Linked DNA regions of Sus scrofa. The protein of the gene in region 2 interacts with the protein of the main gene of each other region in a biochemical or structural test. Links are inferred from orthologs where the notes say so. Each region holds a gene or a part of one and is shown on either strand. Other genes may lie near its edges.

Region 1 (6,607 bases), on a different chromosome or scaffold from region 2:
CCCTGGAGGAAGTGGAGGGCCATCAGATGGGGGCTTGCCGCGGGGCTGGGGGAGGGGGCGGCTGGAGCAAGGCGGCAGCCTCCCCTCTCTGCCATCTGGAGTGACCCCATGGAGGCTACCGGGGGGGCCTCCGGGGGGGGTGGTCTCAGACCATGCGGCCTTGGCTTTAGCAAAACCCCGCCTTGGGTCAGGGGTTCCTGGCTGTCAGGGCCACTTTCTGGATTTTTCGCATACGCAGGGCACTGAGCTAGGGGCTCTGTCCCTGTCCTGCCAGCTGGCCCGGGCCCCGGAGTTTGGCTCTGGCCAAACACACGCGCCCCAAAACTGACTGCTTGGTTGGAACCCCTCCCCATCTCTCCAGCTCCGTGCACCCTCCTCCTGCCTGGCCTGGCCTCTGGCCACCCCCCGACGGCCCACAGGTGTGCCCCCACCACCATCCTGGGTCTCCAGCCCCGTGGATCCTGATGGGTGCCCTTGGCTGTTACAGATGTTTTCTGCTCAGCTCCTGCCTCGGGAGGACCCGTCCAGGACCCAGGCCCTCTTTGGGGCACTCACAGGGCCATGAGTGCCTCCTGGGATGTGGCCCTGAGGCTGGGTCGCCTCCGGAGCCCATGTGGCCATTGGGCCCATCCGTCCTCACCTTCTGCCCAGAGCCCCTGCCCCCACCCCCCGCCCCTAGTCCTGACTCCACAACTGCCTGGCCTCCCTGGCCTGGGACTGTGGCCAACCTTGTCTATTTCACATGGGAGCCCCCCACCTCCCCACCCCCCGCCCCAGCCCGGGGCCTGGATGTCTGAGGAGGGCAGCTGTGTGTGCAGTGGGTCTAAGAGGAGTAGCAACAGACCAAGACAGACAGAGATGGAGGGAGACAGAGGAAGAGCCAGAGAGACAGAAGGACAGAGACAGAGGAACAGACAGATACATGGATAGAGAGGGAAGGAGAGATACACAGAGACGGAGACAGAGCTGGCGACTTCAAACCTGACCTCTGAATGGTGACCCCAGAGGGAGGGAGAGGGAGGGAAGGAGAGACAGGGCTAGAAGGTCAGGCAGCAGGACCAGCAGAAGGGCCTCTGGCTTCTGGGCCCCAGGGGTGTGTGGAGTTCAGCCAGGCCTGGGCCACGGGATCGGCGGGGGGGGGGGGGGGGGTGGAACCTGTGCTCACGGACACCTGCACTCCCCTCTCCTGCCCATACGAAGCCCCACACCCAGCCTGGCAGCCCCAAGGTCAGTGGCGTGTCTCCCTGCCTTGAACGGGCCACTGGGGTCATTGGTCATGGGGCTGCCCTGGACTCAGCTGGGGTCACCTCAGGGGCCTCTGCGGGGTTACCATCAGGAGGTCAGCTGTGGGTCAGTCCTCAGGTCCACCTAGTGGCGGGGGGCCTCTAGTGGGGAAAGTGACGTGCCCCTTTCCTGGACCCACACTCTCCCTCTGGCATCCACACCCAAGTTCTCAGGACACCAAAGGCCCAGGCTGGGCAGAGCCTGTGGGCTCAGGCTGGACCCTCAAGACCCTCAGACACATGCAAACAGGCGGCCGCTCCCATCCGTCCTCAGACCTGCAGAAGCCCTGGGGCTTTGGCCCACCTCCCCCGAAGGGTGGGGATAGAGGTGCAATGGAGGCACTCCTCACACCCCTGGGTCAGCCAGGGTGTGTCCCAGGGCCCCAGCTTCTGAGCTGCCCCACCCACCCTCCTGGCACTTCCTCACCCCGATCTAGGTGACAGGAGCCATCAGCAGGAGGAATGGATAGAGTGCTGGGGAGGCTGCAGATGCAGAGTGCAGCGTGCCGCTGCCCCCCCGCACAAAGCAGTGCTGGCCTGTGCCGCCCTGCCTGCACCTGCTGGGCACAGCGGGCGGGGGTGGGAGCTGGGAGCCCAGGTGCCAAGCAGACGCGGGGCGGGGGGAGAGCACCCCCCCGGGAGCCCCCCCCCCCCCGCAGGCACGTCCTCCAGCGTTCAGGCTGTGAGTCCTGGGGAGGGGCCTGAGCAGGGGTCTCCTGGGGTTGGGGGTCTCCAGGAGCTGCCCCTGCCCCCACAGGCCCAGGAGCCCTGATGACTCAGCTGGGAGGGATGGGGAAAGCGCAGGGCCACCAGGGGTGTCCACCTGCTGACCAGGAGGCCAGCAGAGACCCCAGACCCCTGCCGAACCGTGGGCCCCTCCCACAACAGTCTTCCTACCCCGAGAGCAGCGGCGGGACCGGAGGCCCAGCCGCCGACCTTGCAGCGACCCCGCTCTCCCCGCAGCGCAGCTTCCGCCGCAGAGGAAATCCCGGAGGCCCGGGGAGGGGGCGGCCCCGCGGGGGCGGGGCTGCGGGGACAGCGAGCGCCACAGCCAGTCCGCAGTGACCTTGGCGCGTCCCCGCCTCGCTTGGGGCCCTGGGCGGAGGGGCGGAGGGGGCGGAGGAGGCGGGGGTCTCTCGGACCCTGTCCCACTGAAATGAAACGGCGGGGCTCTTTCGTTGCGACTCTGTTACACAGAAAAATAGGTCCGGGCCGGTGTGCAGACTGCTCCTCGCTAACGGTTGTGTGGGTTTTCAGGGCCTGGGGGCTCCCTTCTCCTGCCCAGCGGTGCCGGAGGCCCTAGAGCGGCGCGGGTCCGGGACCCCGACAGCGACCGCCGTCGCCGCCGTCGCCAGGGAACTCCTTCGCGAGCGCGCGGGGGCAGAAAGGGAGACCGCGGGAAACGGCGCCCCCGACCCGCGGCCGGACTGGAAAGGACTTTTCCCAGGGGAGTCGCGCGCGTACCCGTCCGCCCGCTGGGTGCCCCTCACGGGCGGAGGCGTTGGGTGTGCGGGGCCCTGTCCGCGGGGGGAGGGCAGCCCCCGGGACCCACGCGCAAGGGGATCGGATGGCGCGGGCTGGGGGTCGTATCCGGGATTCCGAACTAATGGGTGGGCCGGGGTCGTGCGCGCCGGCTCGGAGAGACAGCGCCCCAAGACCCGCGAATCCGGCCAGGGAGCCGGGTTTGGGAGCGGGGGTGGGGGGCGGCTCCGCCCCCCGCCCCGCGGGCGCCCGCCCCGCGCCGCTGCCCCGCCCTCCTCGTCACGCTCGGACGCGGGCGGGGGGCGGGGAGCGCCTCCATGTGACGCGCCCTCCTCGCGGTGCCCTTCAGCTGCCGCCGCAGTTCCCGGCGCGCCACATGGAACCGGCCGGCCCGAGCGCGCTCTGCCGCTGACCGCCCGCCAGCCCGCCCGCGCTGCGGCCCCGGGAAGGTAACCGGCGTCCCCGCGCGCAGCCCCCTCCCCGGCCCTGCGGCCCCCTCCGCGGCCCAGGCTGGGCGCGCACTGAGCCCCTGGCGGGCGCTGTCCGCAGACGCGGTGCTGAAGCGGCTCCAGGGTCCCGGCCCTCCTTCCTGCTCCTTGGCCCGCATCTCCTGCCGCTCGAATCTCCCCTTCCCCTCGCTCGTCCTCTCTCTCTCTCTCTCTCTCTCTCTCTCTCTCTCTCTCTCTTTTCCCTATGTTCTGGCGCGCTCCCGCCTGAGGGCTGCTTGGCTGAGCTGGGCAGCTCGATCTCCTGCAAAGCCAAGGGGTACGGCGGCCGCGGGAGCTCCGAACCGCGCGGGGCGGCGGTGGGAGGGCTGCGGAAGCTCCAGCGGCACCTGGTCTCTCTGTGTCTGGGCCTGAGGCTTCCTCTTCCCCCCCTAGTCCTCCACCCCACCCCGCCACCAGAAGCCAGGGGAGAAGTTTGGAAGAGAATCTGTGTTGCGGCAAGGGCGCCCCTGCGCGCGAGCGCTTTGCGAACAGGCAGGGGCACTCCCGCCCCCTGCCCCCTCCGCAGCCCGCACACTCGCGGATCTCCTTCGTCTGAAGGGGAAAAAAACGCAAATAGCGCATCTCCAGGGACCTGGGTTTCCCTGCCAGGAGCGACCTCACAAGGGGGGAGGGGACACACCGCAGCTGCAGGTTTTATAGGAAGCACCTCCCACCAGACCTCCAGCTGGCCTGGACCCTGGAGAGCCCCATCCACGCAAGTGCATGTGGAGGGATGGACTGCCCCCCCCCCATTTTATTTGTTTCCTGAAGGCTGGGCCCCCTGCAGTTTCTCCTTTCCACCTCAGTCTCTGCTGTGGGCTGGTGGCCTTGGGTGCCGGCCTCTCCCCTGGATGGTACCTGGTCTCCGAAGACTCTTTCCTTGGGAACCAAAGGGAGCGCCCACTCAGGTCTCAACCTTTAGATGGACCCAGGGTTCCACCAAGGAGGCAGCAGAGCCAGTCACCTCCAAACGCCCCTGGGCCTGCCCCACTTGGCGCAGGCTGGTTCCTCTGAGCTGCACCCCCCTCCCTGCATTCGCAGCCAGAAGCTGGCATCAGAAACCCCAAGGCCAGGGGAGACTATTTTGCAGGGGCCTCGGGTGCCCGTCCCAGTGCTGTGGTCTGGCCTTGAGGTGTGGGGGAACCATGAATGATGCTCTCTCAGACCCCAGACCCATGCCCAGGGAAGCCGGGCAGGTGCGAGGAAGAAGTCCTCCCCCGCCCTGTCGGAGGATGACTTGTGCCCACGTCCTCTCCCCAGGCAGAGGACTTCTGGCCACACTCGAATGTGAGCTACGGCCCTCCAAGGAGCCACTGAGGACTCAAAGCCATCGCCATGGAGTTCGTGATGAAACAGGCCCTGGGAGGTAGGAGGGGCCGCTGCATCCCCAGCAGCAGGCGGACACGCGGGGTTGAGCACAAATGTCACATGACACCCAAAGCACACTGCAGGCCCCTCCGGACAGAGTGGGGGAGGCAGGGACCAAAGGCAGCCCCTCCCGAAGCACCTTGGCCAGCTTTGGGGCGGGGGGTATGCACACCTAGTACCAGGATGTGCAGAGCTGAAGCACCTCCACCCCGCCTTGGGAGGACACCCCACGGTAGGTTGAGGGGAACGGGGGCCAGTCTGGCCAGAGCCGGTGGCCCCCACAAGGACATTGCTTCTGGTGAGCAGAGCTGCAAGAGGCTGCAGGGTGGCTACGGCCACTGGAGTGCGGGTAAGGAGCAGAGATGGGCTGGTGGCATCCAGCAAGGGCTTCATGGTGTCACCGGGGTGGGGCCAGCAGTGTGTACAGGGAGCCGGGGCTGGCTGAGCTCAGGGACAAGAGAAGAGGCCCCGGGTAACTCGTGTGCCCTCCCCCATGGAGCAGTGCAGCCTCTTGTGTGTGCTGGGGGAAGGGAGCCCTTCCGGCCCTGCCGACTGCTTTTGAAAGGAATCCTGTACCTGCTTGGCTGGAGGCCATCTCCACGGCCAGAGACCCTGGCCTGGTGGGGAGGTGGTAAACGCAGTGGGCCGGGACCCAGGCCCAGGAGGTGGGCAGGGCAGCGGGCCGAGGTCCACACTGGTACAGATGCAACCCAGGCCTGACTCTGCGGTTAGAGATGTCTTCTTTGGGTGATGGCACCAGCCTTGGACCTCACGTGGTCTCTGTGGGCCACGCCCTGACCCAGTGCCTTTCACAGCCTGGCATGAGCCAGGTGAAGCATGACAAGGCCACTCCTTGGCAGGAGGGACTGAGCGCTCCTCACCAGAGACGGGGTGCCGTGGGCGCTGTCACGCTAGGCGCAAGGGGCAGGGTCGAGGGCCAGTGGCACAGAGCCCAGACAGGGGCCCCGCGTGTGGCTTCTCTTGGAAAGTGGCGGCATTTCCACTCAACATGAATTAACCGAAGAGACTGAGCCTGGCCCAGGGCCACCCTTCCTGAGATTTTGTGGTCAAGGATAGGCTGCAGGTTGAGTCTAATTATAATGATGACGTCACTGGGACGTGATTCAGGGACGGGCCGCATCCTGGCAGCAGGAGGGATCCGAGTTCCACCCAGCCAGTCCCAGGCTGTTACAGATAATTAATTAGGTGGCTAATTCAGGCCTGAGGTGGGCTTGTAGGAAAACTGAAATATCTGATTTGGCTGTCTACATGGCTGGAATTAGCAGGGTAATTGCCAGCCTGGATTCCCTTTGTTCTGTGTCAGCCCAAAGTTTCTCCTTCGATGGCGATGGGGAGGGCTTCACCAGCCACTTGGGAGCCTGGGCGTGGAGGGGTGCAGCCAGCCAGGCACCTCCAGGCAGCCCCTCCCTGGTGCCCCGGGCCCAGCGTGCCCCCTGCCCGCACCCCGTCCTCACCCCAGTGCTGCTGGGGGCGGGGGCTGCTCCGCGTGAGACTGAGTTTTCTCTCCCCCAGCGGGCGTCATTTTGGTGTCTCGGGATGAGTGTGGGTGAGAGGCAGACAGACGGAGACCGGGAGACGGTGCCGAGAGAGACAGAGCAGAGCCGCAGACACAGAGGCAGGACAGACCCGGGACGCTGTCCAGAGACAGGCGGGCCCAGGGGAGACACAGCCAGACACAGACCAAGAAGGGGAAGGCAGTGCCGTGGACCCTGGACGCAGAGATGTGGAGAAACAGGCCTGGAGGGGGACAGACGCAGGATGGGACAGCGGGGGCCAGGCAGCCTGGAGTCAGGCGGGGCAGGCAGCGGGGCGCGAGGCTCAGAGCAGAACTGCAGGAGGAATACACCACGGAGGAGACAGGGCGCTGGGCCCGGGACCAAGGGACTCGAGCAAATGGGTCAGGAAGTGTCAGTGCAGGACAGACGGACAGAGAGGGACACTCAGGGAAACACAGAGAGAGAGGCA
Region 2 (5,830 bases):
CTTCTGAGAAAACCAGGATGCCCTCCAACAAACAAGTCAGTAAGAGAGGTAGACGGAGCTGTTTAGCCCACCCTTCTGAACACTCTGGAAATCTCAACTTCAGACCATGGCAGGTAGCTTTTAGGGCACAGCACAGACTTCCAGAAATGAATACACTTCTTCATATTGGCATCCTGCTCTGATCGCAGATTTGAACTGTTCTCTAACATCTTTCAGATGAGAACCCATGTTGTGAAGCCTGGAAAGCCCTACTGGAAGTCAAGGTCTCAGTTTTCAAATGCCGTATTTCCTTGTTGATGGGAGAATTTGAGGAGTGCTAAAAGCTTCAGCATTTAACGTATTTCATCGTATACATGTGCATGGCATCTTCCACTGACAACTTTATTTATTTTTTTCACTGACAACTTTAAATCCAAGTTTGAACATCACTCTGTTGTTTCCTTAGCAACAGTTCCCATGAAGATCTGATATAAACTCGCCCTAATTTTAGTAGTTTTTTGAAAGAATCATACCATTTTAACCTTAGAAAATTATATATAAAAATACTTTAAATCAGAAAGCAAGGTTTTTTGTTTTTCTTTTTAGGGCCACAACTGTGGCATACGGAAATTCCCAGGCTAGAGGTCGAATTGGAGCTACAGCTGTCGGCCTACGCCACAGCCACAGCAGTGCCGGATTGGAGCCGTGTCTGCGACACATTACGGCAACACCAGATCCTTAACCCACTGAGTGGGGCCAGGAATCGAACCTGCATATTCATAGATACTAGTCAGGTTGGATTCCACTGAGCCCAGCTGGAACTCCAGAAAGCAAGGTGTTTAAATAGACAAAGTAACTTCTTGACAGTCCATGGGAATGTATGGAAAATTGCATTGTTTTGGACTCCCAAAACTTGACTGTTAATTGAAGGGATGAGAAAGGATTGTGACTGACAGAGTTGGGTGAAGCTATTTTTGTGGTCATGAGAGAAGTACCAGAAGATTCTCTTCAGTCCTACAATGTGATTTTAACCTTAGATATGCAGGAAGCCTTTGCACTTCCTATTAACAGTAGAAAGAACTTGTACAAGAAGGTAGAAGTCTACCAATGACTGTGTAACTCCTGTAACCTGTTTCATTTGGGGCAATGTTGAGTTGAAATGGACTTTATCTAACTCATATCTAGATTGTCATTTTGATGAGGGGAAAAAAAACCCCACTAGTTATTTGAAGGTAACTAGACCCCTTCCCCACTTAAGCAACTCAACATTCAAAGATGACATAAAGGCTCTTTCCTATTCACTTGCCTGACTTTTTGAAAGCTTATAAAACTTAGAGCTGCGTCTGTCTTTGCCTGTGCAGTAAATCAGCCCCAGAATGAAAGGTTTTCCTTAAAGAAGAGAACTGGAAATGCAAAGTGGCAGAATTAAGATGTCACTTGCCTTTCCAGGAAGACTTACGCTTGCTTAAAGCCCAGCTCTATCAGTAAAGGTTTGACCCCTCTTTCTTAGCAGAACTTCTCTTTCTGGGACTCTAATTGAGTCTGAGATACATTATCTTCCTACATCTGTGAGTAAATTGGGCCCATTGATAGAAAATAACTACTTTTCTTTTTTTTTTTTGAAATCATTTTCCTGTTGGAAGGTAAGCTGGCAATTACCTCTTAGTTCATTTTTCTGGACCATAATGCATTAGGTCCATTTGTGTTGGCTCTAGTGCTTTTTGAGACTCTCAATATTGTTCTAAAATCTATTGATTTGCACAGCTTTCAAAGCTTTAGCATTTCAAAGGCTCTTAACAATGATAAGTATGTCAGGTCTTGTGAAAGTAAGCAGAGGACAAATATTTGTCAACCAACACTGACATCTGACATTATTATGCAGTTCAATACTGAGTAGGCAAAGTATCATGCAATCAAATAGTTTTTAATATAATGTATATAGAACACAATAGGGCAAATCATTCCTTTTATGTCTATTCATGCCTTTCTCAAGTCAGCAGAGAATGCTTAGGTACCAAGAAATTGAGTATTTAGCTTTGTGATTCAAGAGATCTCAAAAAACACCCTTCTTCCCCTACCAAAGTGGAGTAAATTGTTGAAAAGAAACTCAGGGTTTCAGACTCAAAACATCAGCACCTTCCAAGGAATAATCTCACACAATATATGATTAGCTGAGTAGAATTGATTATAGATGCACAACTGCCTTTAAACTTACAATGTGTGTATTTCTCCCTTGTTAACATTTGGACATTTTAAGAGATTACAAGCAATATTTAGGACTCTACTGATTGGTGAGGGGGTGGAATACAAAGATACAGAAGCTGTATCAGATGCATATAGTGTAGAATATCAGGGTTTGGTGCCCATATCTTTTTACCAAAGCTTTTCAGCGTTTCCTTCTGGGCCCTCCTAATCTCAAGACCCCGAACCCACCCTTTTCCATTATATTGTCCCCACTCTTCCTTAATGCCTCTTATTGACACGAGGGGCTCAATCTTAGATTGACATCTGGTGTCCTCCTGTGAACTCAACTTCCTCAGGTTATGTTTCCACTTTGAGATCTGGACATGTGCACCACTGACCTAGAAATGGAATCTGGGCCTTTTTGAACTATCATTAAAGCTTTGGCACTTCCATTTCCTGACTCTATTCCTACATCATCTCCATTTGACAAGCTCCTAACCATCCTTAGAGACTCAATACAAATTCGACTTTTTTGGGGGAGATTTCCCCATCTACTGAACCCTGAAGTCTTTCCTCATCTAACCTCATTTAGCACTGGATGTGTGGCTTTCTTGGCAAATTATATTTTCATCTGGAAATTCACTGTTCTAAGTTTCTTGGCTGTAAGGATGCTGTTTCTCTCATCCTAATATGCCCAGCAGTTGCCTAAAATAAAGATGCCCTTGGAGGACTATCTGCTAGATTAAATTCTACCCTGGTATTTACTTCTGTGCTGCTGGATTTTTGTCTTGGAAAATTAGACAATTTTTGGATTATCTTTCAGTGCCTAAACCTAAAGTCATGGCGTGAGGGTCTTGTGATGCCCTTCACCCTTCCTCAGTGGTTATTTCAGAGGAAGTGATGAGCAAAGGAAACATACTGACAGCCATGCACCCACCTTCTCCATGATCCTGTCGATCTGGCGGTTCTGTGTATCGATCTCATTGCCCATATCCAGGGCCATGTGACGGAGGTTTCCAATGATGCCGCTCACCTGCTCCAGGTTTTCATCCATTTCATTTTCTCGGGCATCATTTGTTACCCTGGGTATCAAAGAGCAGTTTTTAGAAGATAAAAGAAACTCAAATACCAAGGAGTCAAAGATGAGGGTAAATCTATAGACCTCTAGGTATCAACCCTATACTTTCTGAATCTCCGTTCAACACAGGAACACATTTTAGCTTTTGTACATTACAAGGTACTTTTAAAAATTGCATATTGATAAATTTCTACTTTTATTTTTTATTTTTATTTTTTTTGCTTCTTAGGGCTGCACCCACAGCCTATGGAGGTTCCCAGGCCAGGGGTCGAATCAGAGCTGCAGCTGCTGGCCTACACACAGCCACAGCAACGCAGGATCTGAGCCACATCTTCGACCTACACCACAGACCATGGCAACGCTGGATCCTTAACTCATTGAGTGAGGCCAGGGATTGAACCTGCGTCCTCATGGATCCTAGTCGGGTTCGTTAACCACTGAGCCACAAAGGAAACTCCTAAATTTCTACTTTTAAAGAAGGCATATTAAATAGATTAATTTACCTACTTTTCTAACTTCCACCAACACATCATCATTTCCTCCCTTCATATGTTTATCCCAATTTTCATTTTTTTTTTTTTAAGGGTAAAATCATTTTAGCTGGGAGGATTCTGGGTCAGAGAATGAAGATGGAACTAGTTAGAAACTGTATTTTTCTTTCTGAGATGTCAATCAAAATCTACAAGGGTCAAATTTAGAATGAAAGAGAAAGCTATTGAACTAAGTCACAGAATTTCTCCACCCATCTCCTTCTCCATTTGGGACCAATATCAAAGGGAAGAGGAATGTGAATTATAGTCTGCCCCTTAATCCTTTTTGCTCCCAAGAACTCCAAAGGGAGCTTTTTGTCAAGGTGGTTTTATTTGCTCAGATTTCAATGCTATGGGATTTTTGGTGGCACTGTGAATGGATGATCTCAAAGAAGAAGACTGGGACAGAAAATTACTGTTTCAGTTTAAGTGGGGAGGAAGGACTTGGCTCTCATTTTTTTCATAGTCCAGCTTGAAAGTTAAGAAGTAACTCTTTTTAGGAGTTCCCATCGTGTCGAAGTGGAAAAAATCCGGCTAGGAACCACGAGTTTTCGGGTTCCTTGCTCAGTAGGTTAAGGATCTGGTGTTGCCGTGAGCTGTGGTGTAGGTCATAGACATGGCTTGGATTCTGCATTGCTGTGCCTGTGCCATAGGTCAGCAGCTGTAGCTCCAATTGGCCCCCTAGCCTGGGAACCTCCATATGCCATGGGTGCGGCCCTAAAAAGCAAAAACAACAACAACAACAAAAAACCCTACCAAAAAACATTTTTCTACCACAGATGCTGATGGGCTAAAATATGTTTGGAAGGGTTAACATCCTTCCCCCATGGTAAATCCCAATGCAGATTGTTTCTCTAAGGTTTTAAAACCATTTAAATCCAGATAAAATTAAAAGGGAACTTTCTAGATCTCTTATGTAGAAAAAAAGAAGCTTATTTAAATGATCATCAGCAGCTGAGACATACTTCTAATTCCATGGTCCTCAGCCCTCTTTGCATTTCAGAATTACCTGAGCAGCTTTAAAACTACTGATATCCATGTCTCATTTCTAGAGATTCTGATTCACTGGGTTTGGATTAAGCCCAGGCACTGATACTTTTAAAAAATTGCACAGTTATTCTAATATGCAGTTAGGTTTGAGGACCCCTGGTCTAGTTTCCCTGGGAGCAGACAGAAACATGAATAGAATTGTCATCTGTGAAGTTCTGGGTAGACATCTGGACATTTATACATAAAGAGCAGTGACTCATCTTTTGAATCTGGGTATATAGATGGTTGATCAAACAGCTACCCTAGTTACTGCTGAGTCCTAGGGTAGTAACCTGCAAAAAAGAATAACTTTTCCCTTTTTTTTTTTTGGCAACAGGACTATTTGTTATTATTATTATTTTCTGATCTCTTGGGAGCTGAGTTTTAAATCAGCAGATGTGTGATTTGAGATTTTTAAATAGAGGTTAAATTAGCTTTTGTTTCCAGATCTCATAGGACCTGCTTAAGAAGTCAGGTCTCCTCATTATTCTCTGTGTGTACCCCTTGATCTGTTCTCTGGCTCAGAGGCTGACCTCTCTACAACCCTATCACCCAGGTTCTCTTATTTTGACTTTCTGTGGCCTCTGGCCAATGGCCATTGAGGGACCGGAGGGCAAGAGGCTGAGGGGTTGGGGCACTTATTTCCCTTTCTTGTTTCCTGCTGGGTCTACAGTTGCTGAATCTCAACATATAGCCCCTGCCCACAGATGTAATTCCTCTTGGCTTCTGGTGATAGATTGCTCCTGGCCAGTTAGGACCCTTCCTGGCTATTGCTAGTTCCTAAGTGCTTCACCGTTCCTTGTTATTGACACTGCCCACACCTCTGTAAACAATCTCTTTAGTAACTTCTGTCCAACTGAACTCATGAAATGAGACACCTCCTTACTACTGCGCTGGTGTTGGATGTGGTCATGTGACTTGGTTTGTCTCACGAAACGTGGGCAAAGGTTTGATAAATCCTGTGCATCAGAGTCTACTGCTGAGGTTGTTGCCCCCACCATGCAAGAAACCTGGGCTTTACTGTTGGAGA
Region 3 (5,830 bases), on a different chromosome or scaffold from region 2:
AACTCACTGAGCGCGGCCACGGATCAAACCTGCATCCTCACGGGTTCTTAACCTGCTGGGTCATGATGGGAACTGTGAGACTCAACTTTTTGGTTTTCTAACCTTACACCACTGGGAGAGCCGGCTGACCCTTCCAAAGCATGCTTTCAGTATTTGTTTACCTGCCTTGATGAACTCGTGAAGTAACTGTGAGACCAAAGGAGACCTCTTTGTGAATCTCAGAGGCCCTGCTCTCTAAAGCTGCGGACTCACCTCCTACATCCAAAGGTCCTTGGGCTCATACGCAGACTCATCTCCCCAACTTTTCTTGCATCCAACTCAAGGCATTCACTCAACGGCCCTGGGGCCTAAACTCCTATCTTTATCATTTTGATTCATTGCCCACCTCTCAGCATCAAGCCCTACTCGTTTTTCCTTTGCAAAAATCATCCATATCTACAGTGCTTTCAATCCCATGATCACCGTGCAAATTCAGACCAAAACCACTGCAAAAACCCAACTAGAGACCCACCCACCTCTTGCCTCTTCCCCATGCCAATCCGCTTTCATATGGATACCAGATTATCTTCCTAATAGACTGCAACCTGAAGTTACATGCAGGCTACTCAGTCAAATGCAACGCCCTAGACGGTAGTCACAGGCCTTTGGAATATGGCGCTGTGTTCTCTACTGAAACTCAATATTCACTATTCCAAGACAAACTTTTTACTCTAGTCAGACTGTTCTCTTCATGTCTGCCCCCCACCCCTACCACTTCCAACACACACACACACACACACACACACACATACACACACACACACCCACACACACACCACTTTTGCCCCCATGCCTCTAAGGAGAATCTCTTCCTGGGCCTGTACATGGTGGCACTCTTTTTACTTTTTTGTTGTGGCCAAAGATCAAACCCACAACCTCATGCACACTATGTTGGGTTCTTAACCCACTGAGCCACAAGGGGAACTCCCACAGTGGCACTCTTGCCCATCCATGGCCCAGCCGCCTCTGGGCACCCCAGATCTCCCCGAGCTCATCTGAGGCTGAGGGCATGTGCGTTTCAGCATGTCTTTCTACACGGCTTTCCTGGGGGTCTTGTGTCAAGTTTCCTTGTGCCACTTGAACATCGTGCCATTTCTTCAAGGACAAGGATCATGTGTCTGATGACCACCAAACAGGACAAATGATGACCAACAATCTTCGGAAGGAACACTTTAGTTTCCTCAGCTGTAAACCAGGGAGGCACGCTCAACCCTAAGCTGCCTCTGGGAGCCTCAGAGGCCTCCCTAGAGGAGAGTGTGAGAGGGGCCACCAGGGCCAGACTCGACCCCGTCCCCTACTTCAACCTGGGCAGCTCTCCTCTACCAGCTCTTCAAACTGAATTCCAAACAAGAGCTGTTTTGTTTTTTTGTTTTTTTTTAAGACTCCACTGCTAGAAAAGAGAACCCCCCTACATGATGGTGGGAATGTAAATTCATGCAGCCACTACGGAAAACAGTATGGAGGTTCCTTTAAAAACTAAATATACAACTACCATATGACCCAGCCATCTCATTCGTGGGCATCTATCTGGACAAAACTAATTCAAAAGGATACATGCATCCCTATGTTCAGAGCAATGCTATTTATAATAACCAAGACAGGGAAATAACAGATGAACAGGTGAAGAAGTGGTACGTATACATACCATGAAACACTACTCAGCCATGAAAAGGAATGAAAATGAAATAATACCATTTGCAACAACAAGGATGGAACTAGAGATTATCATACTAAGTAAGTCAGACAAAGACAAATATTATATGATATCACTTATAGTTGGATTCTAAAAAATAATACAAATGAACAGATTCACAGACATAGAAAACAAACTTATAATTACCAAAGGGAAAGGGGGGGGAATAAATTAAGAGTCTGGGATTAACAGATACACACTGCTGTATATGAAATAAACAACAAGGATTTACTGTACAGCAGGGGAACTATATCCAATATCTTATAATAACCCATAATGAAAAAGAATCTGAGAAAGAAATATATACATATCTCCCAGGATACTCACCCCAACTAACCACACCTTACTACTTTTTTTTTTTTTGGTATTTTTAGGGTCACACTTGCAGCATATGGAGGTTCCCAGGCTAGCGGCTGAATTGGAGCTATAGCTGCCAGCCTATAGCACAACCACAGCAAGGCCAGACCCAAGCCATGTCTTCAACCTACACCACAGCTCATGGCAGTGCTGGATCTTTAACCCACTGAGCGAGGCCAGGGATCAAACCTGCGTCCTTGTGGATACTGTTTCTCTGAGCCATGATGAGAACTCCTACCCCACTAATTTAAAACACTCGGAGTTCCCGTCGTGGCGCAATGGTTAACGAATCCGACTAGGAACCATGAGGTTGCGGGTTCGGTCCCTGCCCTTGCTCAGTGGGTTAACGATCTGGCGTTGCCGTGAGCTGTGGTGTAGGTTGCAGACGCGGCTCGGATCCTGCGTTGCTGTGGCTCTGGCGTAGGCCGGTGGCTACAGCTCCGATTCAACCCCTAGCCTGGGAACCTCCATATGCCGCGGGGGCAGCCCAAGAAATAGCAACAACAACAACAACAAAAGACAAAAAGACAAAAAAATAAATAAATAAATAAAACACTCAACTGCCCCCCCCCCCATTAAGTCTGAAAAGCCTCTTTCTTTTTTTTTTTTTTTTTTTTTTTTTTTTTGGTCTTTTTTGCCATTCTTGGGCTACTCCCGAGGCATATGGAGGTTCAAGGTTAGGGGTCAAATCGGAGCTGTAGCCGCCAGCCTACACCAGAGCCACAGCTACGCGCGATTCGAGCGGCATCTGCAACCTACACCACAGCTCACGGCAACACGGAATCCTTAACCCACTGGCCAGGGATCGAACCTGCAACCTCATGGTTCCTAGTTGGATTCATTAACCACTGAGCCACGACAGGAACTCCCCTGAAGAGCCTCCTTAATTCATATATACAAACTGAATCGCTTTGCTACTACGCACCAGAAACTAACACAATATTGTAAATCAACCATACTTCAATAAAAATTTTTTTTTTTTTTTTTTTTTTTTTTTTTGCTTTTTAGGGCTACACTTGTGGCATATGGAGGTTCCTAGATTAGGAGTTGAAATGGAGCTACAGCTGCCGGCCTACACCACAGCCACAGCAACGCGAGATCTGCGCCACATCTGCAACCTACACCAAAACTCCTGGCAACACTGGATCCTTAACCCACTGAGCGAGGCCAGGGATCAAACCTACGTCCTCATAGATACTAGTCAGATGCGTTTCCACTGCGCCACAACGGAAACTCCTCAATAAAAAGTTTTATAAATAAAAATAAATAGATTAAAAAGCTAGGAAAAAAATAAATAAAAAAAAGATCGGACTAGATGATCGTTAGACCAGGGAAACTCTCACCTGGGATTTCCGAATCCGAAGGTCTGCTGACGACCGGACCTCGTCTTCTTCGATATGCCTCTCCATGCCTGGGTGGGAGAGAAGGACGTTCTAGCAAGGCATCTGCTGCTCTCTGCCAGGACACACGCTGCACAATGCAACCCTGACTCTCATTCTCACACCTGGGCCAGGAGACGTGACAGCAGGCAGGCCCCGTCTCGGAAGGCCAGCTCCCTCGTGAGCCACAGGACGCACACTCCACGCCTTTCCCAGGCACAGGCCTTCCTCAGCTACATCTCAGCTCAGGGGTCAGCCACTCTGTCTCTGTCATCAAGAGACATGGGCTCAAATCCTTGCCCCGCCACCTACTAGCCGTCTACCTCTGGAAAAGCCACTTAACCTGTGTTCCCATTCTCTCATCTGTAAGATGGAATAAAGAGCAGTGCCCCTCTCTGGCGATTCTGATGTGGAAATGAAAGAAGGATGCCCACTGAGGGCTTGGCACATGATCGGTGCTACAGATGGAAGCTGCCACTAGCAACCTCCACCTCCACCCCCGTGAAAACAGGTAGCGCCGTCTGCTTTGGCTGAGAACTGATTACTTAGGCTGAGCAATGCCACTTTCATACTCTGACCAACAGCAAGCACTCGTCACCAAATACAATGAGGCAAGAATGCAAATGACTTATGACTTCTGGGCCCCAGGGGAACCAACTCTATGAGAGTGGCTTCACCGAGGAATGCCCTAAGCCAAGGGGTGGGGGTGGTGGAAATGGAGGGTGAGACACCTGGTCCCCAAGAAATATCTGTAGACTGAACAACCTCTCCGGCATCCAGAGATAACCAACACCACTATTCATGTGTCTGCAGGTGCCGAAGAATCGGGACCAGGAGGAAAAAAGTTGACGGACTAAGTTTAAGGACCAAGTCACACAAATATTCAGCAGCTGAAAGCACACTTTCATTCCCGCCTCCAAACTTCCACTCCGGACTCCTCCAGCCACAGTCATGACCCAAGAGCAGACAGAATTTCTGGGACTAGAATAGGTCTATTCCAGGGACAGTGCCCAGACCACGAACAAAGATGGCACAAAGAGTGTCACTCCCATCGGGAAGAGTCTCGGTCCAGAAGAGTTGGACCCAGAGGCCGTGAGATGGATGGGGGTGGGAGGGGGGAGCTGCCTGAACCCCCTGCTGCCTTCTTACTCTTCAGTTTGTTCCGGACGTTGTTGGCCCTTTTCTTGATCTCAGTCGTGAGCTGCTCCAGGTCATCCTTGGTTTCTGGATAAAAAAAAAAGGCAGGTGGAATCAGGCAGGTAGAAAAGACTGATTGCTTAGTCAGCTACAACAATCAATGGAAGAGATGGGGTGCTTTTTCAGCGCTCTCCACCCAGAGCAGCGCACATCCCGGTGGGCTCCCCAGGCATCCTCCTTAGGATCACAGAGGGCTTATTTTTAACAGGCATTTTTTTTCCAGGCACCCTACTCAGACTTACAGAATAAAAACAGTTCATGGAAAAATGGGGGGGGGTGGGGGGGCATTTCAGGTGGAGGAAATGGCACAAGAGCAGCGGTGGGGCAGAGATGAGGTATTTGAGCAGCAGAGTCATTGCCAGTCATGAGACAGAGGGTTGGGAAGCAGAGGTTTGGCAAAACAGGTTGAGGGGAACCATGAAGAGAAGCGCTGATGGCGGTCAGGGCAGTGTGAGTCAGAAGTGGGTGAGGGGGGGTGGGTGATGACGTGATCCAGACATCAGTGTGAGGTAACACATCCCCTCCCCTGCTGGCCGAGGCCCAGCCCCAGTGGCCAAGGGTCATGGTCGGGTGATTCAGCCCTGAGTCAACACCCACTTGGCTCTGGAATGGGCGCAGAGAGAATGATGCTGTAGAGTTTCTTAGCTTCCTCCACATGCTCTGAGATCTTGTCAATGTTGAGTCGAGTTTCCTCAATCTAAAATTAGAAAGACAAGAGGGAGAATACAGCTATGATCATGTCCGGAATGAAAGGTAGCAGAACTTTCTGCCCGCCTTCTGGGTTTGTGGAAGAAGACGGTGGCGAGAAAGGTCTTCTGAGGACCCGTGAGCCCAGTGACGACCCTCTCCGTAGTCAGAGCAGTCACTGAAGATCTGTCCTCATCGCTCCCTGAGAGGAATACACCTGCTCACCTTGACTGAGAGGATTCCGGCCAGAAAGACTCATGAGGAACCAGAGGGAAGGGTCATGAAACCTTCTCAGGCTGATGCTCAGCTCCTCTAAAACTGGGAACGTCAGAGAGTGAGGATGGGAGAGAGGTAAAAAGGAAAGAGGGAAAGAAAAGAAAGGGAGAGAACAGACCTAGAGGGTGAGAAACAGAGAAAGAAGAATGAGAGGAAGAGGAAGAGAAAAACAGAGGAAGAGAAAGAGAGAGGAAGCAGTGAC

Evidence for each region.
Region 1: the proteins of SNAP25 (region 2) and CPLX1 are reported together in a solved structure, tested with the Homo sapiens proteins (2 studies listed by BioGRID, with this or other methods). The link is inferred for Sus scrofa from reciprocal best matches to the Homo sapiens genes SNAP25 and CPLX1.
Region 3: the proteins of SNAP25 (region 2) and STX3 form a complex in vitro, tested with the Homo sapiens proteins (2 studies listed by BioGRID). The link is inferred for Sus scrofa from reciprocal best matches to the Homo sapiens genes SNAP25 and STX3.

What each region holds. Positions count from the first base shown.
Region 1 is NC_010450.4:227,724-234,330, reverse strand, and holds the start of CPLX1 (complexin-1), read left to right. Parts: upstream 1-2,609; 5' UTR 2,610-2,730; intron 2,731-3,057; exon of another isoform or gene 3,058-3,214; intron 3,215-4,513; 5' UTR 4,514-4,588; coding exon 4,589-4,619; intron 4,620-6,607. UniProt on the Homo sapiens protein: Positively regulates a late step in exocytosis of various cytoplasmic vesicles, such as synaptic vesicles and other secretory vesicles.
Region 2 is NC_010459.5:19,216,839-19,222,668, reverse strand, and holds part of SNAP25 (synaptosomal-associated protein 25), read right to left. Parts: intron 3,246-5,830; coding exon 3,101-3,245; intron 1-3,100.
Region 3 is NC_010444.4:11,707,352-11,713,181, forward strand, and holds part of STX3 (syntaxin-3), read right to left. Parts: intron 5,363-5,830; coding exon 5,263-5,362; intron 4,693-5,262; coding exon 4,618-4,692; intron 3,501-4,617; coding exon 3,433-3,500; intron 1-3,432. UniProt on the Homo sapiens protein: Potentially involved in docking of synaptic vesicles at presynaptic active zones. Apical receptor involved in membrane fusion of apical vesicles.